7 linked regions of the Mus musculus genome follow. The protein of the gene in region 5 purifies or fractionates together with the protein of the main gene of each other region. This does not show direct contact. Links are inferred from orthologs where the notes say so. Each region holds a gene or a part of one and is shown on either strand. Other genes may lie near its edges. The genes, in order: Larp7, Nop58, Rrp9, Snu13, Fbl, Sirt7 and Tgs1.

Region 1 (4,069 bases), on a different chromosome or scaffold from region 5:
GTTGCCTGTCTACCTATAGGGCTCCAGGACAGTCAGGACTAACTACATAGATAGACACTGTCTAAAAGGAAGAAATAAAAATGATAATTTAAAAATCTGTATGCTCAGTACTAACAACTTTTTTCTATTTCCCATCTATAACTGGCTGAATACAGATCCAGAAATTACAGGTACAGAGGGTTGACTATATACCCTAGTCAATATAGCACAACATCCTAGAGCCAAATATACAATATATAATTCCTCTGCAAGGAAAATTTTGTTCTTTCTTTTACCCAGTGCTAGGGGCTGACAAAAGGGACTATATGTAAACTAGGTAATAGTGCTTACATGCATCCAGTCCTTTATGTTTGTTTAAAATAGGATCTGACCATATTGCACAATCCCGTCCTAGCCTCTGGAAATAGCTGGGATATTACAAGCAATATGCCACCACACCCAGGAAGAAAAATCTCTTGGACAGTGCTGCAGCAGCCACTGTAACTACCATGTTAACTATAAGGTCAAATTTTGAAATCTTGAAATCGTCGATGGTGAACTGAATACAGATGCAAAAGCAGCACACATAAGCACACATATCTTCAAGTGGTTCCAGGGACATGACCTGACAATTAGTTAGCAATGAACATTTTAGGTCCTATTCTTTTAGGTCCTATTCTTGATCTATTACGTTAGGAAGTCCAGCTCTGGAGCCCAACAACAGTTTCTATCTGGCCCTCTGCAGTGATGAAAAACTGTCACAATAGCTCAGAACAGCACCGCTCAAACCAGGAAAGTTTCCAAACCACGAACGGCCTGCTAAACCACAAGGAACAGTACAGATCCCTAAAAGAAACATAGCTTCACTTGCCAAGCCTTGACACTTCAAGGTTTTGTATCACTAAATAATAATGGCCCCCTTGGTCCTATGTCAGCCCCTAAAACACCCACAACCGGGATGGGCCGCTATGGTGACCGCCTCACCCGGCACTCTAACGGCGCCTCGTGGGTCGCTTCCGTGGAGGCGAGTCAGTGTCCAGTGCTCTCCCAACCGCGCCAAGTCGCCCGGTCTGTCCACCCTTCTTGCCTAGAACACGGGAGAGAAAAGTCTCCACTTCACCGGCTCAATGACATAAACTCCACTTTCTAATTTCTCCCGCCAACTTAAGTGACGTCATCAAGCAGGGACGGTACCGCGGAGGCCCCGCCCGCCGCCGTTCGCAAACCACCAATGGAACTCCGCGTGCCAGCGCAGTCACCGCGTGGCTCCCGCCCCCGAGATGCTCCGCCTATGACGTCAGCAACGAACCCTGGGCCTCGGACCCGTCTTTCCGTAGCGGGCTGAGAGAAGCGCGTCGCTACTCGAATGACGCAAATTTCCGCCGACCGCAGGGGTCGGGAGAAGGAAAGCGTGGGAGAACACAAGCGCTGACCGTGGATCTGGGGACGAGCACGGAGTAAGTCACTACTGGCCTGCAGAGCCTCTCAGACCCGTAGAGGTGGGAACTCCTCTCAGTCGGGTCTCCTGAGGGCCACCCTCCATCCGCGGTCCGCCTCACCCCGCCCCCGTCGCCACTGTGCCGTTGGTTTGGCGCCGTGCGTTGTGCGCACGCGCAGTTCCCTGGCGGCCCCTGCTATTCGGAGCTCAGTACAGAGGGGGCGGGCCGAGCTTGGGGTTGGGGTGTTTGGGGCACGCCCGGCTGCGGGGGGGGGGGGGGGGGGGAGTCTGTGCGGAAGTAGGGTTGCTCAGAGGAACTGTGGGTGTTAGGCAGGTTGTCTTCCCAAAGGACATCAGTTGTGAGAACTTGCATTCTAAAGTTCAGTCTTTTCTTTTTGCTAGTCCCTCTATAGAAAAAGCCGTTGTAGAAGGGGCTAACAGTAATGAATTTAAGTTCTGAGTGCGTTTATGAGAAATTAAGGAGAAATATGAGTGGAGAGTTCATTGAGAATGGAAATCCTCAAGAAGTAAGACTGCCTTTTAGTAGTCTTTCGAAGCCGGGCGGTGGTGGGAAACCGAATGACTTCATAAAACATTCACACTAAAAGATTATTTGGAGCAAAGTTCCAGACCGCTAAAGGGTTTGCCGTGACTACAACTTTGGTTCTCAATCTTTTGGGTACTCTTCTTTTTGTTTAAAGCCTGGAAAATATTATTGTCGAGTTCCTTTGAAAATTTTACATGTACCTGTGGAAACATTTTGTATGTGATTTTACAAACAAAACCTTTGATTTAAAATTTAAAAAAAAAAAAATGGTCTTTTGCTTTACATCTAGCACAGCTTACTTCCAGATTATCTGTGACATTCACTGTCTTTGGGCAGTGTTGCAACTTTGTAACTTGTTGAAAACATAAAGATGAAAACCATGTTTGCCCAATCATTGCCCCTGACCAGTATATGTTAACATTCATTTTGACTTTATGCTGCATATTGATCTGGTCTTTTCTCCTTTAAACAGACTAGTTCCACTTAAATTTACCATATTCCTTTATATTTGTATAAGCATGATTTTACCTTTTGTTTAAAAGTTTGTCTTATAACATCTCATGGATTCCTAAGATGTCTTTAAACTCCCAGAAGTGTCAGGGAGGTCAGATGAAGAATTCCTGGGACAGCCCAGGCAGTGGTGACGCACACCTTTAATCCCAGCATTTGGGAGTTGGCAAAGGCAGGTGGATTTCTGAGTTCGAGACCAGCCCGATCTACAGAGTAAATTCCAGAACAGCCAGGCTATACAGAGAAACCCTGTCTTGAAACCACCACCCACCACCCCCCAAAAAAGAAATTCCTGGGTCAGAATATAGTGTGAATGCTGACAGAGTGTAGCTTCTACTAAACGGTAGACAGTGTAAGAGTCAAACACCTCGGTTTGCTTACCTACCTAGTTTTGACTGAATTACATAACCTTTCAGCCTCCCTTTGAAAAGGGGAAAGAAACGACCAAGTAGGATTGTCAAGATTTAAAACTATCTATCTATATAAATATCTGGCATTGCTTCACAGTAATTTCTTTGTTCCAAGACTGTGAGTTTTGTGGGTGGATGTTGTTTGTTTGTTTGTTTGTTTGATTGTTTGGAGGCAGGATTTTTTATGTAGCTCTGGCTGTCCAGAAATTCTGCAGAGCAGGCCAGCCTCAAACTCAGAGATCCACCTGCCTCTACCTCCCAAGTACTGGTATTAAAGTTGTGTATCACCACATTCATTTAGCAGTATATTTATGACACTACAAAAAAAAAGAAAAAAGAAAAACTTATCAGAATCACTAATGTTTCAAGTTTAGAAATAACCTTCACAGACTAGAAAGATAGCTCAGCCATGAAAAGCTAGGCTCACTCCCAAAAATATAAAATATAACCATCATAAACCATATGAGTATTATGGACAGGTGACACAAACTTCTGTAAAGGATAGGTGACTTCTAGTGCAATTATAAACTCATATTCTAATAGCAGATGGAGAAAACATTAAATGGGGGTAAGAGCCATTTCAAAGATGAAATTGATAGGATTTAGTGAAAGATTGGTAAAAATAACATGGCATCATGTTTTCCATGGCAGCTTTTCCCCCTTTGGGTTTTGGTTTTGTTTTGTTTTTTTTTGTTTGTTTGTTTGTTTTGTTTTTTGGGGTTTTTTTTTTGTTTTTTTGGGGGGGGGGGTAGGGGCAAGACAGGGTTTCTCTGTATAGCCCTGGCTATCCTGGAACTCAGTTTGTAGACCAGGCTGGCCTCGAACTCAGAAATCCACCTGCCTCTGCTTCCTGAGTGCTGGGATTAAAGGCATGCTCCACCACACCTGGCTGGTTTTTGTTTTTAAGATTTATTTTGTTTATGAGTACAGTGTAGCTGTCTTCAGACATACCAGAAGAGGGCATCAGATCCCATTACAGATGGTTGTGAGCCAGCATGCAGTTGCTGGGAATTGAACTCAGGACCTGTGGAAGAGCAGTCAGTGCTCTTAACTGATGAGCCATCTCTCCAGCCTGCGAGTCTTTTTTTAAACTTATGTAATATACATGTGTATGTATGAATGTATGTGTGTATACCGGAATATACGTGTGTGTGTGTGTGTGTGTGTGTGTGTGTGTGTGTGTGT
Region 2 (3,500 bases), on a different chromosome or scaffold from region 5:
AGAGCTTTGTGTGTGTGTGTGTGTAGTACTAAGGATTAGGCCCAAGGTCTTTCACATGCTAAACAGACACTTTATCCCCAGCCCAAAGAAAAGAATAAAGAAAGTCTCTTTACAAAAAGGTAGATATTAGGAATCAGTGTATACAGTATTAGAAGGCAGAAGAAAATAGCCAGGGTTCTATAAAACCCTTTCATAAATGCCAGGAATGATGATGCACATGTTTATCCCAGCACTTGGAAAGCTAAAGGCAGGCTCACAAATTTGATGCCAGCTGAGGCTATAGACTGCCCTATAAAAAGAAGCTGAATCTTTTTATTTATTTATTTATTTATTTATTTATTTATTCTATGTAAGTACACTGTAGCTGTCTTCAGACACTCCAGAAGAGGGCGTCAGGTCTTGTTAGAGATGGTTGTGAGCCACCATGTGGTTGCTGGGATTTGAACTCCGGACCTTTGGAAGAGCAGTCGGGTGCTCTTACCCACTGAGCCATCTCACCAGCCCAAGAAGCTGAATCTTAACAAACTTATTTATTTCAGAGTAGGATCTCACTTTGTATACCCAGCTGGCTTTAACTCAGGTTGCCCTGCTTTTTCATGCCTCCCAAGTGCTGGGATAAACATTGTGCATCATCATGCCTGGCATTTATGAGGTTGGGGGGGGTTGGTTTTGTTTTTTGTTTGTTTCTTTGATTTTGTTTTTCGAGACAGGGTTTCTCTGTGTAATCCTGGCTGTTCTGGAACTCACTCTGTAGACCAGGCTGGCCTGAAACTGCCTCTGCCTCCCAAGTGCTGGGATTAAAGGTGTGCGCCACCATGCCTAGCCATGAGTTGGTTTTTTATAAAACATTTACACAAATAATTTTTATTTTTTTAAAAATATACCTTTTAAAAGAAATATTTTCTTTCCTTTAAAGTTTACATCAGAAGCGTTCTCAGTTGTAACTCTAAAATTTTCTGTTTTTCTGTAAAGCATTCACAGCTCTGATGGAAGGCAAAATCAATAAACAGCTGAAGAAAGTTTTGAAGAAAATAGTAAAAGAAGCCCATGAACCTCTGGCTGTCGCTGATGCTAAACTAGGAGGGGTAATAAAGGTAAAGTTGGGCTGAGGCTGAGGCTGTGGCTGTGGCTTAAAGGGCAAGGCATGATTCTTCCAGGCCTTTTAGAGCTGCTAAGCCTGCTCTTTGTAGTATTTGTCATGTGTTCTCATAGTTGATGTTTTCCTGTTAGGCAGCATAATCTCAACTAGAAATTGCAAAAACACGTTTTCCCTGTACACTGTAGAAAATAAAGATGGACAAAAATGATAATATAAGCTCTAAGCCAGCCACTCATGCCGTCTGTTCACATTTGTGATGATCCTCATAGAATTTAAACTTTTTTCTGTTGAGTAAAGAAGTGAGTTGATTGGAAGCTTTAGTAGCAGGCATAAAGTACAGAGGGGACTTAAATGGTCTGTGGTGGTGCATGCCTAGAGTTACTTGCTTGTGATATTATAAAATATTGGCCTATATGAGGGAATTAACAAATATATGCGACAGGGAAAGTGTTATGATTGAAACAGTTTTGTTTTTTAAAACAAATTTTTTTCTCCAACATGGAATTTGTGTGCCACAAAATCCAGGGTCAAAAAGATACTTGTTATCTGTGTTTATACTATTCATTAATACTCTTTGGGAGGGTTATTTGAGGGATGCACTTATCCATAGGGAAAAGATAGAAACTTTTTGCTGTTACTTTTGGTTAAAATCCGGTGAGTATATGAGTACCTTGTAATTTTTTTTAAAGATTTACTTAATTATTTTTAAGATTTATTTATCTTATTTATAAATACACTGTGGCTGTCTTCAAACAGACCAGAACAGGGCATCGGATCCCATTACAGATGGTTGTGAGCCACTGTGTGGTTGCTGGGAATTGAACTCAGGACCTCTGGAATAGCAGTCAGCACTCTTAACTGAGCCATCTCTCCAGCCCAATACTTTGTAATTTTAAAGCTAAACAAATGGCTGGAGTGATGATGGGTGAGTGGTTAAAAGTGCTTAGTACACTTAATACACCGGGCTTCAGATCCCATTACCAGCATTACACAGGTCATTACTACCCATCACTCAGTTACAGGGGATTTGATACTGTCTGGCCTTTAAAGGCACCTGCACTTAACTAGTGCACAAAAACTCCCTTTGGCTGGGGCTAGAGAGATGGCTCAGTGGCTAAGCGCACTAAACTACATGGTAGCTCAACAACCATCTGTAATGCAATCTGATGCCCTCTTCTGGGGTGACTGAAGATAACGACAGTGTACTCATATATATAAAATAAATCTTTTCTTTAAAAAAAAATCACATAGGTACATGTGCAGATTTTAAAAGTCTGGAAATCAAATAAAATAGCAGTAGTCCACTTAGTCCAACAAGCAAGAAAAAAACTTCCTCAGATTTAATAATGCTTTGCATCTTGGGATGCAGCCTAGCCAAAAGGGTAATTGGAAGGTTTCTCTATTTAATTTCCATCAACTTCTTAACAAACATACTAGAAGCAAACACTATGTACAGTTGAGAAAAGTATATATATTATACCCGAGATCAATATTGTTTTAAAATACCAGATTCCAATGAGATAGATCATGCTTATCTGTTCTATCCCGGCCTGTGGCTTACAAGGACCAGGTACACCAGGGAGGCAAGCTGGGGCTGAAAGAGACTTAGACTGCGAGAGGTTAATGGAGCCGAGACATGTTTCAGTTCAAGGCCCTCCGTTTCCTAAGAGAGTGTGCTTATAAAAGGGGAAGGCCCATCCCCTCCAGTCCATTCTTGGTGTCTGGAGCCAGCCTATAGGTGATGCGCAGAATAGAATGTTCCTCTGGAATGTATCAGGTGCTTCTCAGCAGGTAGCAGTGTCTTGGAGAGAGCAGTGGCAGCTGGCAGAACAAAAGAAGCCATCTAGGTCGGAAGGCTCCACCTTAGGTAATTTCCTTCTCACTGGCAGCAAGGTCAAAGTCTGGAGCAGCCTGCTTCAGGGCTGAGGGAGGCTCCACTTATCATTTCCGGAGACTGAGGCAGATTGTTCCTGTGAGTTTAAGTTGAACCTGTGAATTCACATTAGTGAATTCTTTTTGGTTTTTCAAGACGGGGTTTGACCAGGCTGGACTCAAACTCAGAAATCCGCCTGCCTCTGCCTCCCAAGTGCTGGGATCAAAGGTGTGTGCCACCTCTGCCTGGCTACATTGGTGAATTCTTAAAAGACAATATCTGAAAACCCACAACGGTGAATTTTCAAGAAAACTTATTTTTCATTTAATGTGAATGTTTTTATAGGAAAAATTGAATCTCAGCTGTATCCATAGTCCTGTTGTTAATGAACTTATGAGAGGAATCCGATCACAAATGGATGGCTTGATTCCTGGGGTAGAACCACGTGAGATGGCAGCCATGTGTCTTGGATTGGCCCACAGGTAAGTACAGAAGTTAAATGTATGCTTACTCATATACATACACATA
Region 3 (2,804 bases), on a different chromosome or scaffold from region 5:
CCCACAGGCCTCTGGCGACCGCAGCAAGCTCATTCTCATTTGGGAGGCCCAGAGCTGCCAGCACCTGTACACCTTCACGGGACACCGGGACGCTGTGTCGGTGAGGCTCTGGGTATTGACCACCTGCCTAGCATGGAAGCCTGCTGGGTGTGCCCTCCTGGGGCCAGGCGCCAGGCCCCAGGCTCATCTACAGAGGCCTGTGGGTAGTGAGTGGTGTGTGTGTAAAGGCCGCGAGTGCGTTGAAGAGATGGGGAGCGATGGAGGGAGACCAGGTTCAGCTGGAACCACAGAGGGCCTGAGGGGTATGTAGCTGTTTGAGGACAGGCAAGCATGTTCCTGGCTCTGGGGGAACAGGTTCCTGGGTCATGTGACTCACTTTCAGGAGAGCCCCTCTGGGTCTACCCTCCGTAGTCCATACCCTTTGACCCCTCTCTGTTCTCTCCAGGGACTAGCCTTCCGAAAAGGTACCCACCAGCTCTACAGCACTTCCCACGACCGCTCTGTGAAGGTGTGGAATGCAGCCGAGAACTCCTACGTGGAGACGCTGTGAGTGTGCCCAGGCAGATAGCACAGGCCCGCGTGTCAGCGAGAGGTCACATGTGACCCTCCCTCCCTGCTTTGCTCTTCCCCTCCAGGTTCGGGCACCAGGATGCTGTGGCTGCATTGGATGCCCTGAGCCGAGAGTGCTGTGTGACAGCTGGGGGCCGGGATGGGACCGTGCGTGTGTGGAAGATCCCCGAGGAGTCCCAGCTTGTCTTCTATGGCCACCAGTAAGGCGGTTTGCTGGGCTGTGGTGGGGCTCTGTGGGCTGGCGAGGGGGCTGGACGTTGCCCCCTCACAGCCTCTCTTTCTAGGGGTTCCATTGACTGTATCCATCTCATCAACGAGGAGCACATGGTGTCGGGCGCAGATGATGGGTAAGAGTCCCTTTCTGATATGTCCGACTGCTGCCGCCACCAGTGCTTCCTGCCTGCCAGGCCCTGGACTTAGCTCATTTTGGATCAGTGGCCACATCCCTCAGCTGGTCTATGTGATTGGTCCTCCCTGCTGTATGCCTTTGTCTGGCTCTGGCCCCTCAGACTATCTTTTTCACCCACAGCTCTGTGGCCTTGTGGGGCCTCTCCAAGAAACGGCCACTCGCCCTCCAGCGCGAAGCTCATGGGCTTCACGGGGAGCCAGGCCTGGAGCAACCCTTCTGGGTGTCATCCGTAGCCGCCCTGCTCAATACAGACCTGGTGGCCACAGGTGGGTGGGTGCTCGGTGAGGTGGGGAGGGGGACTGTGGGTGAGCTGGTATGGGGCTTGCTTACTGACTCTCTGACCTCCAAGGCTCCCATAATGCCCGTGTGCGACTTTGGCAGTGTGGAGAGGGCTTCCGGCAGCTTGACCCTCTCTGTGACATCCCCCTGGTAAGTGGTCCTAAATGCATAACCCTGTCTTTGCAAGACTCTGGAGGCCCATGGAATGAGCAATTTCTGCTTTTCTCACCCAGAGACGTCTATTCAGGGCAAGGCCACTTACTGTCACAGAGCCTGTCCCACTTTTCTCCTCTGTTCCCCAACCCCTACTCCCTCCACCCTGTCCTGGCTCTGTGTACAAGCTGAGTGTGAGTGGGTAGAGGGTGGAGGCCTGCACTGGGCTTGGTTCTCTGTAGTGGGTATTGACTTGAGAACCAGGCTGGGCTGTGTGGAGTTGACTGTCCACACTGGAGTGACCTGTGGGGTTATGTTATGATATGTCACACACTCCAGTGCCTGAGGCAGCTCTTGGCACACTTGATGGGCACTGTCTCCTCAGTCCTTACCATCTCCCTGCTTGGCTGCGGCTCCACTCCTACAGTTTCAGAGAGGAGGCTGGGGCTCATGGGAAAGGGTTGGCACACCTAACCAGTGCACCAGGCCCCTGCCTGCTGTTGGGAGCCGTGGTGACGAATGTTCTGATGTCTTACCATGTCCCTCTCTCTCAGGTTGGTTTTATCAACAGCCTCAAGTTCTCCAGTGCTGGGGACTTCTTGGTGGCAGGCGTGGGACAGGAGCACAGGTATGTGATGGGGGTGGGGCCGAGGGCAAGGTAGCACTGGCCGGTTGGGAGTAGGAGAGGGGTGGCGTGCGTCTGCCTCAGTGGTCATTCATTCTCTGCAGGCTTGGCCGGTGGTGGAGGATCAAAGAGGCCCGGAACTCAGTCTGCATCATCCCACTCCGCAGGCTCCCTGTGTCCCCTGTTGCCGGCTCCTGACACTCTCCCTTATTTAAGTGACTTCCAGGCCCCGCCCCTGTCCTCTTTTGTATTAAAGCCTCCTATTTTAGACCTTGTTCTCCCTTGTTCCTCTGGTTTCTGGGAGGGTGAGGGGAGGGGGTAGGTGTGTGGCAAGGACCAGGAGGTGGCAGAGACCTGGGAGGGACAGGACTCTAGCTAGCTGCTCTCAGCTGAAGGCTTTTGTTTTCAGAGCACTGGGTGGGAACCTCAGCCGGCTCTTGCATGACCTCATTAGACAGCTGCTCACCCATCAGCCAAGAAACTACAGCTCTCCATTCCTTGGGAAGGCTCAAGCCGGGGTCTGAGGACCAATGGAAGCTAGTGGAGCCTACAGTTCAGGCTGACCACATTTCCCTACTGTCCCAGCCCAGGAAGCTGGAAGGGATACCCTGCCCCGCGGTGGGACAAGGTCAGAATCGGGGAAGAGAGTTTCAGTCTGACAGAGCTAGCTAGCAAGGACCCTGCTGGGAAGATGTGTCAAAGGAATACTGCCTGCTTTTACAGATTGGGAATTCTCTCCTGTTGTGGGGTGCAGCAGTGGATGAGGGG
Region 4 (4,035 bases), on a different chromosome or scaffold from region 5:
TTGCCATGTGGGTGTTGGGAATTGAACCCATATCCTATAGAAGAGCAGCCAGTGTGCTGAACCAGGGAGGCATCTCGCCAGTCTCTAGAAATGTTCCCTCCTGTTGGCAGTTTGAATCCATGTGGTTGCCTGACCCCCAATGCTAAAAATCTCAAGGTCCGGTTTTAGCTTTGCCACTGTTTGATTCCTGACAGTGGGCAGGCTTCCCTTCTTTACACTTTGTTCTCATCTGTAAAAATGAGGAACTATTTTGTAAGGCTCTTAAAGGTCCTCCCAGTTCTCAGCTCTACAGTTGTGACACAATGAGCTGAAATTGGCTCTAATGGTGGGGTCTGGGCTAGATCCAAATAGCCCCAAGATGTGTTTGGCATCATGTTGGAAAAGACTGAGAAGCCACGAGGATCACGGAAGAGCTCATGGGAGGGAGCGCTAGACTTGAGTTTATCCTTTCATAACGAAGTTTTGGTGCATCACTAAGAAAGGGGCAAGATGCTCAGAAGAAGGAAGCAGGTGTCCTACATAATTACTCCAAACACAACCTCCCTGTCATTCACTAACTAGCCCCCTAGTCCAATGGCTCTTGACCTACCCATTGCTGCAGCTCTTTAATACAGTTCATGTTGTGGTGACCCCCAACCATAAAATTACTTTCGTTGCTACTTCATAACTGTAATCTTGCTACTGTTATGAATCGTGTCTTCCGATGGTCTTCGGCGGCCCCTGGGAAAGGGTCTTTTGACACACACTCCCCAAGAGACTCACAACCACTGCATTATTCCAGCTAATTGTAGAAATCAACCTCCGCCTGAGAGGATGGTTTTGAAAAGGGTACACTATGTACTCAGAAAAAAAAAAAAAAAAAAAAAAAAAAAAAAAGCCTGGCGTGGTGGCGCATGCCTTTAATCCCTGCACTTGGGAGGCAGAGGCAGGTGGATTTCTGAGTTCGAGGGCAGCCTGGTCTACAAAGCGAGTTCCAGGACAGCCAGGGCTGCACAGAGAAACCCTGTCTCGAAAAAAAAAAAAAAGCCTGGTTATGAAATGGCAACCCTCACAACCCGTTGTACTAGTGTGCCACTTCCCGAGTGGTTTATTCACAATCTTTTGCCGATCCTAACTAGAACGCTAATAAAATCTGAAAAAACGCATCTCCCACATCCAAAGATGACTTCAGCACTCTCTTCTTCCGGGAAGGGGGCGGGACGCCGTCATTGCGCGCGCTCTGTGGCGTCACTTCCGCTTCCTGCCGCTTCTGAAGTGATTTCCGCTCCTTTTTCCTGCGCGGCGTTTCAGTCCCTCTTGAGTTGGGCTGTCGTCGAGTCGCGGCGAGACCGGCGCACCGCAGCCATGGTGAGTGAGCGCGGCGGGCCGCAAGCACGGGGAGCGCGGGCCGCGGGCCCTGTTCGCTGCGTCTTGGGGGAGGTGGAGCGCGTGCGACATGTCGCCCGCCCCGAGATGGCCGACCTCCAGGCCCGGGGCTGGAACTCCGGCGGCCCGCGAGGTCGTTCCTGGGGCGGCGGAGTGGAGATCCCGGGCAGCTGAGGTCCCAGGTCGCTGCGGCCCGGTGGGCTTTGCAGCCGTGGGCGTGCCCAGAGGCCGCGGCGAGGGGACAGGCATGGCGCAGCGTGGGAAAATGAGCGCCCCACGTGGGATGGTGAACGCGTGTGGAAGCCCGTCTGTTCTCCTTCTCGTTTTCTTTCTCTTTTCTTTTTAAACACTGGGGGATGAGGTGAAATCCCGGGATGCGAGGCACTCACTACCCACGTCTTCTCCACTCCCGGGGTTGAGGAAGGGGATCGCCGTGGGGTCCGCAGCCAGGGTCTGTCGGGAACTAAGACTTAGGGAATTCGGGGGCGCTTTTTGGTTTAGTTTGTTTTTAGGGGCTCATGGAGCCCTGGTTGGCCTTGGAACTCTGTAAACTAAGCTGGCCTTGAGCTCTCAAGAGATCTGCCTCACCAGTGCTGGGATTAAAGGCGCGTACCATCGCGCCCTCCGGACTAGGTAACCACCACCACCCCACCCTCGCCTCCTTTTTTAAATTTGGGGTCACATGGAATGTGAAGGAAGCTCAGGAAAGGCTCCCACCATGAGAGCGACCGACGCCTTCAGAAATCCGTGGTCCTGGTAGCCCCACGTGGGATGATAGCGTTTGAGCGTCTCCACTTTGTGATGGTGTACAGGGCTCCGTTTGGCTGAGCCCTTTCAGGCCTGGTGCGATTTCATCCAGCCCTTGGGTGGTCGGCTTTGTTTTCGTGCTCCCACCCCTGAGGTTTAGCAACTACTGACCGAGTCTAGAGTTTGAGAGAGAGAGAGTGGCTGAGCCAGTGTTGAACCAGGGAAGAGTTTTGAAGTGCGGTGCTCTTGGTGAACTCTGCAGCAGTTTGTCTAGGCTGGGAAGTGGGGACAACGGGTCGCTTGTAGCAGGCGGAGTACAAACATGCATCGCTTAAGGACGGGCGAGTTCTGGCTTTGGACATGAGATCTCCCTGCCTTGGCCGGCCTCCAGAATGCTGGGCTTACAGGTGTGTGCCACTACACCAAGGCTGGTCAGTCATCATTCTTGGATCCTCCTGATTAGACCAGGAGGCTGCTGCCATAGCAGATGTACTGCTTGCAGTAACGTTTCTCTAATACACAAAACCAGGAAATATAGACTAGTAACAGAGCAGTAACATCAAACACTACATAATTCGATGTACCACCGATTACAACTATCCTACAGTTGATGAGTTTACAACATTAATAAGGTGTTTAGCTAGAACTTAAGGCTGCTAGTATCACTGGCTTCTTTTCAGCTCTGTTGGAATTTTAGGTTAAACATGCCCTTGTTGACAGAGTCATTTTTAGGCACTATTTGTCAAATCAAAAATCTTGTATGTTTCACTGTCAGGTAGATGCGGGGACCAAATTGATTAAGCCTAGGGATTTAAGTTTGCTAGCCTGGGCTTTTTAGCCAGCCTTGTCTCCAAAAGGTCATTGCTTGTTTAGCATGATCAAGGCCTTGAATTCAATTTCTGACATCCCAGAAAAAAATTTACAAAACTAATCCAGTAGTCTGTTGAATTGCTTCCCCACCCCCAGACAGGATTTCTTTGTGTAGCCCTGGCTGTCCTGGAACTCTGTAGACCAGGCTGGCCTCAAACTCAGAAATCCACCTGCCTCTGCCTCCGGAGTGCTGGGATTAAAGGCGTTCGTCACCACTGCCCAGCTTGAATTGCTTTTTAACATTTGAGACCTTAGAGGTAAAGCTAGGCGTGCATTTGCAGGTCAGATTACTTGAAAGTAATTATTTGATCGAGCACAGGAATTCAGAGCCAGCCCAGGCAACCTAGCAAATTTCTGTAGAGGAAAAAAGAATAGAGAAGTAAGTCAATTCAAACCAGTAGAGGGAGAAAATAGTGAAAACCAGTGATAAAGCCAAAGAAATGGAATAAGTAAGGCTTAGAAGACACCATGAAAATTTGAACCCAGTACATTAATACATAAATAAAAATAGAATTTAAATGTTCCATTCTGGGTGCCATAAAGGGCTTTTGTTTCCAGTATAATTCAGTAGTTTTCTTTTTTATTTATTTATTTATTTATTTATTTATTTATTATATGTAAGTACACTGTAGCTGTCCTCAGACACTCCAGAAGAGGGAGTCAGATCTCTTTACGGATGGTTGTGAGCCACCATGTGGTTGCTGGGATTTGAACTCCTGACCTTCTGAAGAGCAGTCGGGTGCTCTTACCCACTGAGCCATCTCACCAGCCCCAGTAGTTTTCTTTTACCGTATTTTGAGACAGGTTCATTGTGTTCCTGCCTGGCCTCACACTTGCATAGATCCTCCTCCCCAGTGCTAGGACTACACTGGTGTACACTGGTGTACCATCCCACCCCACCAGTGTTTGTCTGTGCAGTTGCACGCCATTATTTCATTCATTTTTTGAAACAAATGTTAAATTCAGTAGCTAATAATAATAGGGAAACTTTTCTTACAATCTAATCTCACTGAGTCAAAACATACACACCCTTTGTTTGCTTTTTAGATTTTT
Region 5 (3,500 bases):
AACTGTTTGGTATTTACATTCCTACCTCTGGGTTACTTTAACACTGACTACACTCTCTGGCTCACAACGAAAATCAGGAACCCAGGAGTGGTATTGAAAGAAAAGCTCTGCTTCAAGCTGTCCCTGCCACAGAATGAGGGATGAGTCTGGCTCCATCGACATCACACAGTGCAGGGAAATGGCCAGGCCCAGCTCCCTCATTTCCACCACTTGTCCACTCACCGGGCCGACAATATCAGAGACGTGGGAGACGGTGGTGCCTGAGGCTGCCCCAAGGTAGAGCACCTTGGCTCCTGGCTTGATGTGGATCTGGTCTACGCCGCCCAGGATAGCTGCTGCCAGCTTGGAGCGGAAGGGGTTCCAGGCTCTGTACTCAATTTTGTCATCTCCTTCCTGAGCCAAGAGAGATGGGGACAGAATCAGTGCTGGGTTCTTGTGCAGGACACCATTCCTGGTAACCCTAGGACCCTCAAAAGAAACTGTGCAGTCAAATCACTAAGTAAGAACCAAATGCAGATGTATAGCAGAGACCAGGACTGAAGCTGCCCTGCTCTCTCATGAAGGCTGCTGACTTGGGGAGGGAACAACAGAAAGTAAATACAGAAGTGAAAGATGGAACTGGGCACTAGGCACACACAAGTGCTGGAACAACAGTGAACGGGACACATATCCTGCCCTGAGAGAGAAGTACTCACTGAACTAAGTACAAACCGACACAGGAGATGGTGACAGGCTATAGAGACCACACAAGGAGAGAGGACATGAAACCAGAACAGGGCAAGGAGAATGTGAAAAAGAGAACACGGACCAGGAGGGTGGTGGACACGTTTGAACCAGATATGGAGGTGGAGAGGGAGCCACCCACACCACCCTGGGAAGAACACTCAAGGCACAGTGTGGGAGGTGAGTAAGGAGGCTGACGTCTGGCCACAGAGACAAGGACATGGGAGAGGTAGGGCTGTGGCAGTGAGGACCGCTTAGACAAGTGGGCGATGTCACAGAGCCTCATCAGAAGGAACAGGCAGTACCTGACCAGAGGCAGGTTACAAGGACAGTTTAGTATGGAGCTGGGAACTGGGACAGCTCTGAGGCTACAGCCTGACTTATACATCAAGACATCCATAACAGCAAGAAGACTGGCAACGCTATCAGTTGGGACTTGGACTCACTGAAATAGAGACTCTCTTCTCTCCATACACAGACTCTCCAGGGACCAGATTCTTTGTGACAAGGGCATCCTCCTTTCCGCGACAGATAAAGACACCTGGTGAAGGGAGGAGAGCAGAGTGTGGCTGGGGACAGTGCAGCCATGGCCCACCTCTGGCTTCAGCCAATTCCCTGCCTGCCTCACTCACCTTCATGACGATGCGGCTCCACCATCACATTCTTCCCTGACTGGTTTCCTCTCTTGCCTCCCCGGCCACCACCTCGACCCCGGTTGCCCCCAGACTGGAAGCCCCCACCTGTAAGAGAGAGCTGCAGTAGGAGAGGGAGGCCCCCACATCTTCCCTCCCTTCATCCTTCGAGAACCTGCTCCAACCCCCATGTCAACCTCACTTACCTCGGCCACCGCCACCTCCTCGTCCCCTGAAGCCACCACCCCCTCCGCCTCGACCTCGACCTCCACCGCCAAAGCCTCCTCGTCCACCGCCAAAGCCTCCTCGGCCTCCTCTTCCACCTCCTCTACCGCCTCTGTCACCAAAGCCGCCTCTGCCACCAAAGCCACCCCCACGGGGGCTGAAACCTGTAGCAGAAATGGAAATGGGGATCAGGGCAAAGGAGCTTAAGAAGGACCCTTACCTGTCAGGTCCACAAATGTGAGAAATCAGCAAGGCACAGGCTCTGTGCTCAGGGAAATGTCCTCCACACCCAGAACCCACCCGATGTCCACCACAGAATGGACACATAAAGGAGGCGCAGCAATCAACAATGGAAGTGACCCTCAGTTCTACAACACAGACGGATAAACGGGAACCTCCCAGAAGTGAAGAAACGAATCCCAGAAAACTAAACCCAACCAGAGTTTTCTTGAAAAATGGTATCAAGTACCCTAAGCTGGCAATGAAGTCACCACATGGATCCCGGTTCTCCTGCCGCACTCGCCAAGTACTGTGTTTACAGGCCCAGCACTACAGCCTTATGAGGTACATCAGCGCAGGGCCGCTGAAGGCAGAACACGCCACAGAGCTTTTAATTAGGGGTGAGGTAGAATGCAGATATTCTAGTTTTCTTGGGACAGCGCCACACAACTCATTTTATCCCTTGTGTTAGTGAGCCCCGCACACGCATATGCCCTCACAGCATCTTCCAGACCTCTGGATAAAAGTGCCCCCGAGTCTGATGCTTGAGCTCTGCTCAAGACTGCAATACTCCTCCCCGCACAGGGGGGAAATTAAGGAAACCCCCAAACTGTCCTCTTAAGGATGGGCACTAGTCTAGATGGGCAGGCTAGAGCACACCAGTACGTCAGCTTGGCCTTAACCCCAGGTGTAGCAGACCATGCCTGGGACTCCGGTACTCTACAAGGTGGAGGCAGGAGACCCCAGTGGGGCTCATGATGAGACCTTGCTTCAAAAAAAGAATGGTGGGGCTGGGGGTGCAGCTCAGTAGAAGAGTGCTCAAGGGCTTGCCCCTTACCCCCAGCTACAGGAAAGCAAGCACTGTCCACAGAGCAGTGAGTGGGACTGGACCCAATGCTGTTACCTTAGCTTTTTCATGATGGTTCCCAAAAACTTTTTGGTATTATTGGAGGTGGGACACAAGAGTTTTCCTGAGGGCTGGAGAGGTGGCTCAGTGGTTAAGAGCACTAACTGCTCTTCCAGAGGTCCTGAGTTCAATTCCAGCATGCCGCATGGTGGCTCACAACCATCTGTAATGGTGATGCCCTCTTCTGGTGCATCTGAAGACAGCTACAGTGTGTATGTATGTATGTGTGTGTGTATATATATATTTATATTTATTTAAAAGTTTATCTGATAACACAGCTTGAAGATTAGGGGTGGTTCAAAATGATCTCACTGGATGTAAACTGTCAGGTAAAAACCTGCTCAAATTTTTGTCTCAGTCCTGTAACTATACCCCATCGACAGCATCAAACATTTTTTTGTTTTGTTTTGTTTTTAAAACGTTTATTGCCAGGCCAGCCATGGTGGCACATGCCTTTAATCCCAGCACTTGGGAGGGAGAGGCAGGCGAATGTTTGAGTTCAAGGCCAGACTGGTCTACAGAGTAAGTTCCAGGACATCCAGAGCTACAAAGAGAAACCCTGTCTCAAAAAACAAACAAACCCTTTATTGCCACCTTTTAAAAACTTTGTGAACATTAGTGTTTTGCCTGCACATTTATCTGTATGTGGGTGTCAGATCCCCTGGGGCAGGAGTTACAGACAGTTGTGAGCTGCTATGCGGGAATTGAAGCCGGGTCCTCTGAAAGAGCAGCCAGTGCTCTTCACTTTCAGCCTCCTTTAGCTGTGTTCAGAGTCCAGGTCTCACTACCTATCC
Region 6 (4,144 bases), on a different chromosome or scaffold from region 5:
CATGAGCATCACCCGTTTGCATGAGCAAAAGCTGGTAAGAAAGCCGGCCATGGTGGCGCACACCTTCACTCCCAGTGCCTGGGAGGCAGAGGCAGGGGGAGTCTCTGGGTTCATGGACAGCCTGGTCAAGAGTGAGTTCCAGGACAGCCATGGCTGCACAGAGAAATTCTGTCTTGGAAAAACAAAACAAAAGAACAAACAAAAACAAAAAGCTGGAAAGAACCCAGAGCTATACCTCAGTGCCCAGGTGGGAAGCCATCCTGCCTCCTAGTCAGCCCTGTGATAGATAAATAGTCTAGTAGCTCGGACATCTGTGTGCTCCCTGCTCTGCTTTCTCTTCAAGAAGAGTAGCTGTAGCCGGGCGTGGTGGCGCACGCCTTTAATCCCAGCACTCGGGAGGCAGAGGCAGGCGGATTTCTGAGATCGAGGCTAGCCTGGTCTACAAAGTGAGTTCCAGGGCAGCCAAGACTACACAGAGAAACCCTGTCTCGGAAAAAAAAAAAAAAAAGGAAGAATAGCTGTGGTATTCAGGTTCCATTCAGGGCCTTTAGACGACAGCCTAGCTTCAGAGGAGACTCAACAGAAACTTCCAGAGATCCGCTGAGCAAGCGGGGAAGCAGATATGCCTGGGATTTGGGGGAAGGGACATGAAAGATGATGGATGACCCAAGAAGTTATCGATCCAAGGTGTGTGTAGTCCTGCCCACCCTATGTGACCAGTGCCCCAAACTGCTGCTCAGCTTGCAGGACCAGGACAGATGCTTGCCCTCCTAGCTGCTCCCAGTACATTAGAGTTAGTAGAAGAGAAAGAACATGGCGCCTTTCTACCTCAGGGCTTTCCTGAGTTGCCTCCTTGTTTTAGGAACCTTGTCCCTTGTCTCTGGGCTTAGAATAACTCCACTGCCGCAGGGTGCTTCCTCCTGCCACCTTACTTACTGCCACCACGTTCTGTCTTCCAGGTGCAACACGTGGTGTCTCAGAACTGTGATGGGCTCCACCTGCGGAGTGGGTTGCCCCGGACCGCCATCTCAGAGCTCCATGGGAATATGTATATTGAAGTGAGCAGTACCGAGGGGGACCCGGGGCCTGGGTGACAGGCAGATCTCACTCACTGTGCCCTCTCTGTCCCAGGTCTGCACCTCCTGCATCCCTAACAGAGAGTATGTACGAGTGTTTGATGTGACTGAGCGTACTGCCCTTCACCGACACCTGACAGGCCGGACCTGCCACAAGTGCGGGACCCAGCTTCGGGATACCATTGTGCACTTTGGGGAGAGGGGGACATTAGGGCAGCCTCTGAACTGGGAGGCAGCGACCGAGGCTGCTAGCAAAGCAGACACAATCCTGTGTTTAGGGTCCAGCTTGAAGGTATGTGCCGACCATACCATGAACTCGTTGTGGATTGAGCATGTTGCTGGCTTGCCTCCCCAGAGCCATCAGCCGTGAGCGGGTGGTAGGTTTGCGTCTTACTCATCCTCCTCTACTCTGTTGTGTCTGCCCGCTGGAACAGGTACTAAAGAAATATCCCCGCCTCTGGTGCATGACGAAGCCTCCAAGCCGTCGACCCAAACTCTACATCGTGAACCTGCAGGTAACAGCGGGTGCTTAGAGCTTCCTCCTCAGACCCGGGGCTCAGATGGGAAGAGCCGGGGAGATCCTGAAAGTCTTGTACAGGTTCCATTGTGTTCCTGGGGAGTGGTGAGCCAGTCTGCCGGGAGGCCCTCATCTGCCTTCCTTGTCTTTAGTGGACCCCGAAGGATGACTGGGCTGCCCTGAAACTCCATGGGAAGTGTGATGATGTCATGCAACTCCTCATGAATGAACTGGGCCTGGAGATTCCTGTCTACAACCGGTGAGTGGGCGCAGCGTGCCCCCTGCATTCCTGCCCCGTCCCTCCCCTCCGTGTGATGGGCCGTGTCTGTCTGCTGTGGGCCTCAGAGGGACTGGCTGAGGCAAGGCTCCACCACACGTGCACACTCTTCCCCCCTGACTGGTACGGTGCCCAGAATCTCTGAGGGGGATCTGCCAGTGTGCTCTACAGGATGCTCCCACAGATGGTGTGCAGCCTGGGTGGACAGCCGAGAGGGGTGAGAACTGCAGCTCTGGTCAGACACAATCTCTGTCCTTGGTGTGGGGATATTTGGGGAAAACTGAAGCAAATTGCCTTGATACAGAATTGTGATAATTTAGACTTGGTGTGTATATTGAGTGAAAAGTTTACACTTTCTTTCTCTGTGAATTTTCAGGGTCTTATAGGGGAAATCAATAACTTCTTTTAATCAAAGGGTTCAAGAAATTAAGGATCCCTTCACCTCTGGGCCTGGCAATTCTTGTATGTTATGTTTGTGGTGTTCTGTGACGTGGGCCTCTCCTGTGCCACATTGTTGATGTTGTTATTGGTTGTTGTTGTTGTTTTTTTTTTTTTTAACATTAACTTAGCTCATTTTTTAATCAGTGCTTACTTTTATCTTACGTTTATAATATGTGGTTCTACATTTCAATCAGACACATGATTTCTTCATGGTGTAGTCTGTAGGCCACACCTCCCCAGTCAACCGGCCTCTTCCCGCCCCCATCCCTGTCACGCAGTCTGGGAAAGGGAAAAGGGTCTGGTCCATCTGCCCCTATCCATACAAGTGAGAGACGGGGCCCAGAGTTGCTAGCAAGTTATCCTTGGAGGTGAGGCCATCCTGTGGCTAGCACTACCCCTTCCTATGTGTGCAGCTCCCACCAACAGTGGGTGAGACAGAAGAGGCTGTCGAGCGAGGGCTGCTGCTGCCCTGAAGACTTTCCCCTGCAGCTTGGTGTCCCCTGCAGCTTGGTGTCACTGACGCTGCTTCCAGCCAAAGCCCAGATTAAGACATAGGTGGGATGGCAGGTGGCCTCAGACAGCTTTCCTGTGCCTGGGAGGGTTGCGATTCGAGGGGTTTTCAGACCTGCCTGATGCTGCTTTTCTTTCTGTTAGGTGGCAGGATCCAATCTTCTCCTTGGCGACCCCCCTCCGTGCTGGTGAAGAAGGCAGCCACAGTAGGAAGTCACTATGCAGAAGCAGAGAAGAAGCCCCACCTGGGGACCAGAGTGACCCCCTTGCCTCAGCTCCCCCTATCCTAGGAGGCTGGTTTGGCAGGGGTTGTGCCAAGCGTGCAAAAAGGAAGAAAGTGGCATAGCCCGGAGTTGACAAAGAACAGTTGGCACTTTGCAGATGGCTTGACCCTTGTTCAGGGGCTCCGCCCGTGTCGCCGTGAAGGCGAGAGTGCCCCCTCCGGCTCTAGTGGGTGCCGGCTTCGCGGTGACGGTCGTCTTTAGCCATTTGTCCTTGTGGAAAGGCTCTCTTGCACTGCTGTGACTGCCCCGCTATGGGCTTGATCTTCAAGGACACCTCCCTCCTGTTCACCCCTGTACAAAGGTGGCAGCAAGGCCTCTGTGAGAAGAGCTCCGGCCCTTCCCAGGCCTGGCCAGCAGGAGAGTCCACCACTGCCTTACCTCACTCTCCAGGCTAGTCTCAGGGCCTCCCTCTTTCTACTCCTTATCACGTACAAGTGTTCACTTTATAGAAGCCTTTTTCTGTATTGGGTATGCGGCACAGGGAGAATCTAACTAAGCCTCCAGTCTGAGCAAGTCTTATTAAACATCTCTCAATTGCTTTGGTGTCCCGATGACTGTCACACGCACCACCGAGGTGCCTGCATCTGAGGGCCTGCATCGAGGCGCTTTTGAAGAACCCAGCCCCTGAAAATGCTTTTGGTTGGTTGGTTTTTTTGAAACAGGGTTTCCGTGTGTAGCCCTGGCTGTCCTGGAACTCATGAGATCCTCCTGCCTCTGCCTCCCAAGTGCTGGGATTAAAGGGGTCGCCACCACTGCCCGGCTCCTAAGAATGCTTAAGGCACGGGGTGAGCTGCACGCACAGTTGTGGTGCTAACCTGCCCCGTTCGTCTGTGGAGAAGTCAAATGCCAAAGCCCGGGCACCTGCAACACAGACCATTGGCCGCTCGATCTGGGCGGAGGGGGGTGTGGCCCGGCTGGGGGCGGGGCCCTGGTTGGCGCACGCCATTGGCTGCGCCAAGCGGGTGAGATCCGCGTGAGCACGCGCAAGCGTCGAGGGCGGGGCGACGGTACTGTGTGTCGCGGGAGCCGCCAGGATTTG
Region 7 (3,500 bases), on a different chromosome or scaffold from region 5:
CCCATTTTAGGAATTTTTCTACCTGAAATTTTAAGATACCATAACAAACACAAATTAACTATAAAGAAAATAGAATTTTCTCACCTTTTACCATTTGTGACTTGATTAACAAGCTATCAAAATTATTAGCATGAAGTACAATGTATCAAACAAGCTACAATTATGGGCTATCTGGAATTTAGGGGAGCAACCTATGATCTTATTAAGAATTCTTTTAAAAGAAGTTACATGGCATCAACAGAATGCCAATTGTCTTTAAAATAAAATCAGAAGGTGCAGGAAAGATACATGAGAGCTGCAGAGACAGCTCAGCAGACAGAACCTGGGTTCTGTACCCAGCACTTACATGGCACCTCACAACTGTTCTGTCCCAGGAGATCTGATGTCTTGTAGACTACACAGGTATCAGGCATACACACATACACAACAAACACATAAGTAAATCTAAAAACAAAACACAACCCAAATTAGAGCTCTCTCAGAAAGAATAAGTAAGAATAGCAGAGCTGGTAGATCTAAGTCTTTAGATGCTAAGATATAATAGCAGCCCAAGTTTGGATGAGTTACTTCTTTGCACTTGCTGTACAATGAATCTTCTCTGTCAGATCTTTATGATCTTGAGAATAACTTTCAGAGAAAGGCAGAGAAATGATAAAACCTCACACTGAGGAGAAAGTGCCACCTATCTGTACCCAAGAGAACTAAGGTCATAGCGGCCACTATATACAGATGTTTCTATATTCCTTTGTAGGTGAAACGTATGGAAATTATTACTCTGAAAACATTCCAAAGTCTTGAGAGACTGACACTAGGCAGTCTACTTCAGATATAAAAAAGGTCACTAAAATAGTCATTAAACTATAACTAGCCTTGACCAGTCTGAAACACTGAAACACACACACACACACACACACACACACACACACACACACACACACTGAAAAATAAACTACTAATTTGTAGCATGCTTTGCTAGAATGCTGCAGTCAGAAGCAAGTGAAGATACAATAAAGTCAGACGCCGGAGATTGTGCCTCCTGCCTTTAAGGGAGCTGGTGGCAACACCAACGATAAGAAGGCTCTGATCATCAGAAATGCCCCATCCCCAGTAGAAGGATAACTCACCCAATCACATGATGTTCTAATTCACTTATTTTCTATTTCCTTATAGCAAAGACTAAGAGGGATCAGGTTACAGTGTGACTCTATAAAGTAGGCTTGTATTTTACATTCTGGGTCAAGCCTATTACTTCAAAGTATGATCAGTCTTTGGATGAGCTCAGAATCCAGGCTTCCAGTTAAAACCACAGCAGAATCTGTACTGGGATCCTACTTTGTGTAAAACAGGTAAGAAAATTGCCCCTGTCCTTCTATGTACTACACGGGCAAATCAATCTAACTGACTTATCTTCTTAGATGCCCAAACATTTTAGTTTTCAAACACCCCTTTTTTTCATATTACCTCAACTTCTTTCCCTATTCCTCAAATCCAGTTTTCATAATATATAACTTTGTAAAGCTAGTGGTAATTTATTTGCTGTATCCTTCAATCTTGCAGGGTGGAACTTTTCATTTGAACACAACTTTAAAGAGCCAAGCTATAAACCATAATTGTGTCTCAACTGAAGGCCTTACTCCTTACTTTACCTACTCTGTACTTTACTCTTACACACCTTACTCCGTACTTACACACCTTACTCCGTACTTTAAACTCTTGCACACCTTACTCTGTACTTACACACCTTACTCCGTACTTTACTCTTACACACGACAAAAGGTTTCCCTGAGTCCTCGGTGAACAGGATGTGCTTGCTCTTCACAGGCATCTGCTTGCGCAGATCCAGGTACTTTGATTTGTATTTCACATTCTTCTCTAGATACCTGACCTGTCGATGGCTGAAATTTGGAATTCCACCATATCTAAATCAGACCAAAAGAGATGATTCACCTGTTAAAAAATTTCTCGTATAGGGGAAAAAAATATCAAAAAACTCCCAAACTAACATCCCTCCCCCCAAATCCTCAAATAACTTTTTACTACTACTTGTTAGTTATTGCTATCACTTAATCCTAATAAATTTTGAAAATGATAAAATCACATGCTACCTGCAGAAAAGGTTATGGTTTAGTCTTTATGACAATTTAAAAGCAAATGTGAAGGCAAATCTGAGTCTGTGGACAGCCTGGTCTACAGAGAGAATTCTAGGACAGCTAGAGCTATACAAGGAAACCCTATCTCAAAAAAATAAAATAAAAAATAAACAAACAAACAAAAAAACCCAAACAAAACAAACCAAATAAGCAAAAAACCCCAAACCCCAAATACTCCTCCCGTAAAAGCCAAAAAACCCCAAACACCACCACCTCCCTGGCCCCTAAAAAAACCCCAAAACCAAATGTGAAACACCGATGATAAGTCTAACAAGGTTACTTTTTCCTGTTTGAGATAGATTTATACCATATAGCCCAGGTTTGCCTGAAATTCTTCATTCTCCTGTCTCAGATTCTTGAATGCTAGCATTCCAAGTGTGGCATCACAACAAAAATACATTGCTAATGTAGATTAGAAAGTAGAAATTATGTAGCAGACTGCCATAAAGAGGGCTAGCAAAAACTAAACAAAAGCATACTTCCTTGTTGGGGTAATTTTTCTCAGCGTGATGACAAAGCCTTACACACATCAGCCCATCAAATTAATGCTAAGAATGGTTACTGAATGCCTATAGAGTAAATCTGATCTAACTGAGTTTCTATCTGCCAGAAAGTTTCCAGGCTCCTCCCAAATGTCCTCTTTGACTCATGTTACCCTAAGTTAAATTCTAAACAATGAAATATCTCCATGAGTGTATACTACCAAGAGCCAAATAACAGTTTACATAAAATCAGTGCTTCTAATAATGTGAACAGGCTTTATATATACTATTAAATTCTATCCTTTTTAGTTTAAAGTGACTATACAAACTACTCCTGACTTCAAGCCCTCAGGCAGGTGACTTGAAGCCATTATAGGATTATAAGCATGTACTTTTGAATTAGTTTGGAGTCAATTTACACATTAATCATGAGGCATTTCTCACTTTCTTTTCCTACTAAATTCATGATACACAGCTTATTTAAATTTCCTAAGATACGGTCACTAAGACATTAAGTCTGAACCCTTAGAAACATAAAACCTCAAAGAATGGGATTAACTGACCTAAATAGCACACACTGAGGCTGTTTTATCCACTCAGTTCAGTCTTCCTGTCCTGAGATGTAAGTTACTCTTACATAAATATCTACTCATTCATATTTCTTTTTAACCTTTGGGCATTCAATCCCAGAGAATACTTAGGTTTCTACAGACAAATGTTCACAGCAGCTTTACATATAACAGCAAAATACAGAAAAAAATCCAAAGGCCATTTAAAAGGCAAATGGTTAAATGATTTTTGTTATTTCTGTATCTCCATAAAATGTGCTGGCTACCCCATCAAAGAGGAGGAAAGAACAAATGGGACG

What was found.
Region 1: the proteins of Fbl (region 5) and Larp7 purify together in Homo sapiens (affinity purification with mass spectrometry; 3 studies listed by BioGRID and IntAct, counting the BioPlex papers as one, with this or other methods). This does not show direct contact. The link is inferred for Mus musculus from reciprocal best matches to the Homo sapiens genes FBL and LARP7.
Region 2: the proteins of Fbl (region 5) and Nop58 purify together in Homo sapiens (affinity purification with mass spectrometry; 7 studies listed by BioGRID and IntAct, counting the BioPlex papers as one, with this or other methods). This does not show direct contact. The link is inferred for Mus musculus from reciprocal best matches to the Homo sapiens genes FBL and NOP58.
Region 3: the proteins of Fbl (region 5) and Rrp9 purify together in Homo sapiens (affinity purification with mass spectrometry; 3 studies listed by BioGRID and IntAct, counting the BioPlex papers as one, with this or other methods). This does not show direct contact. The link is inferred for Mus musculus from reciprocal best matches to the Homo sapiens genes FBL and RRP9.
Region 4: the proteins of Fbl (region 5) and Snu13 purify together in Homo sapiens (affinity purification with mass spectrometry; 5 studies listed by BioGRID and IntAct, with this or other methods). This does not show direct contact. The link is inferred for Mus musculus from reciprocal best matches to the Homo sapiens genes FBL and SNU13.
Region 6: the proteins of Fbl (region 5) and Sirt7 purify together in Homo sapiens (affinity purification with mass spectrometry; 3 studies listed by BioGRID, with this or other methods). This does not show direct contact. The link is inferred for Mus musculus from reciprocal best matches to the Homo sapiens genes FBL and SIRT7.
Region 7: the proteins of Fbl (region 5) and Tgs1 purify together in Homo sapiens (affinity purification with mass spectrometry; 3 studies listed by BioGRID and IntAct, counting the BioPlex papers as one, with this or other methods). This does not show direct contact. The link is inferred for Mus musculus from reciprocal best matches to the Homo sapiens genes FBL and TGS1.

What each region holds. Positions count from the first base shown.
Region 1 is NC_000069.6:127,550,550-127,554,618, reverse strand, and holds the start of Larp7 (la-related protein 7), read left to right. Parts: upstream 1-1,269; 5' UTR 1,270-1,436; intron 1,437-4,069. UniProt on the Homo sapiens protein: RNA-binding protein that specifically binds distinct small nuclear RNA (snRNAs) and regulates their processing and function.
Region 2 is NC_000067.6:59,695,006-59,698,505, forward strand, and holds part of Nop58 (nucleolar protein 58), read left to right. Parts: intron 1-972; coding exon 973-1,094; intron 1,095-3,317; coding exon 3,318-3,454; intron 3,455-3,500. UniProt on the Homo sapiens protein: Required for the biogenesis of box C/D snoRNAs such as U3, U8 and U14 snoRNAs. Part of the small subunit (SSU) processome, first precursor of the small eukaryotic ribosomal subunit.
Region 3 is NC_000075.6:106,483,112-106,485,915, forward strand, and holds the end of Rrp9 (U3 small nucleolar RNA-interacting protein 2), read left to right. Parts: intron 1-7; coding exon 8-100; intron 101-445; coding exon 446-546; intron 547-635; coding exon 636-770; intron 771-854; coding exon 855-917; intron 918-1,099; coding exon 1,100-1,245; intron 1,246-1,328; coding exon 1,329-1,408; intron 1,409-1,965; coding exon 1,966-2,039; intron 2,040-2,140; coding exon 2,141-2,234; 3' UTR 2,235-2,304; downstream 2,305-2,804. UniProt on the Homo sapiens protein: Component of a nucleolar small nuclear ribonucleoprotein particle (snoRNP) thought to participate in the processing and modification of pre-ribosomal RNA (pre-rRNA).
Region 4 is NC_000081.6:82,044,799-82,048,833, reverse strand, and holds the start of Snu13 (NHP2-like protein 1), read left to right. Parts: upstream 1-1,235; 5' UTR 1,236-1,344; coding exon 1,345-1,347; intron 1,348-4,035.
Region 5 is NC_000073.6:28,172,748-28,176,247, reverse strand, and holds part of Fbl (rRNA 2'-O-methyltransferase fibrillarin), read right to left. Parts: intron 1,745-3,500; coding exon 1,562-1,744; intron 1,464-1,561; coding exon 1,356-1,463; intron 1,265-1,355; coding exon 1,170-1,264; intron 394-1,169; coding exon 223-393; intron 1-222.
Region 6 is NC_000077.6:120,617,871-120,622,014, reverse strand, and holds the end of Sirt7 (NAD-dependent protein deacetylase sirtuin-7), read left to right. Parts: coding exon 1-34; intron 35-959; coding exon 960-1,058; intron 1,059-1,131; coding exon 1,132-1,368; intron 1,369-1,510; coding exon 1,511-1,591; intron 1,592-1,745; coding exon 1,746-1,852; intron 1,853-2,246; exon of another isoform or gene 2,247-2,724; coding exon of another isoform or gene 2,725-2,866; intron 2,867-2,965; coding exon 2,966-3,167; 3' UTR 3,168-3,644; downstream 3,645-4,144. UniProt on the Homo sapiens protein: NAD-dependent protein-lysine deacylase that can act both as a deacetylase or deacylase (desuccinylase, depropionylase, deglutarylase and dedecanoylase), depending on the context. Specifically mediates deacetylation of histone H3 at 'Lys-18' (H3K18Ac).
Region 7 is NC_000070.6:3,591,879-3,595,378, reverse strand, and holds part of Tgs1 (trimethylguanosine synthase), read right to left. Parts: intron 1,920-3,500; coding exon 1,742-1,919; intron 23-1,741; coding exon 1-22. UniProt on the Homo sapiens protein: Catalyzes the 2 serial methylation steps for the conversion of the 7-monomethylguanosine (m(7)G) caps of snRNAs and snoRNAs to a 2,2,7-trimethylguanosine (m(2,2,7)G) cap structure.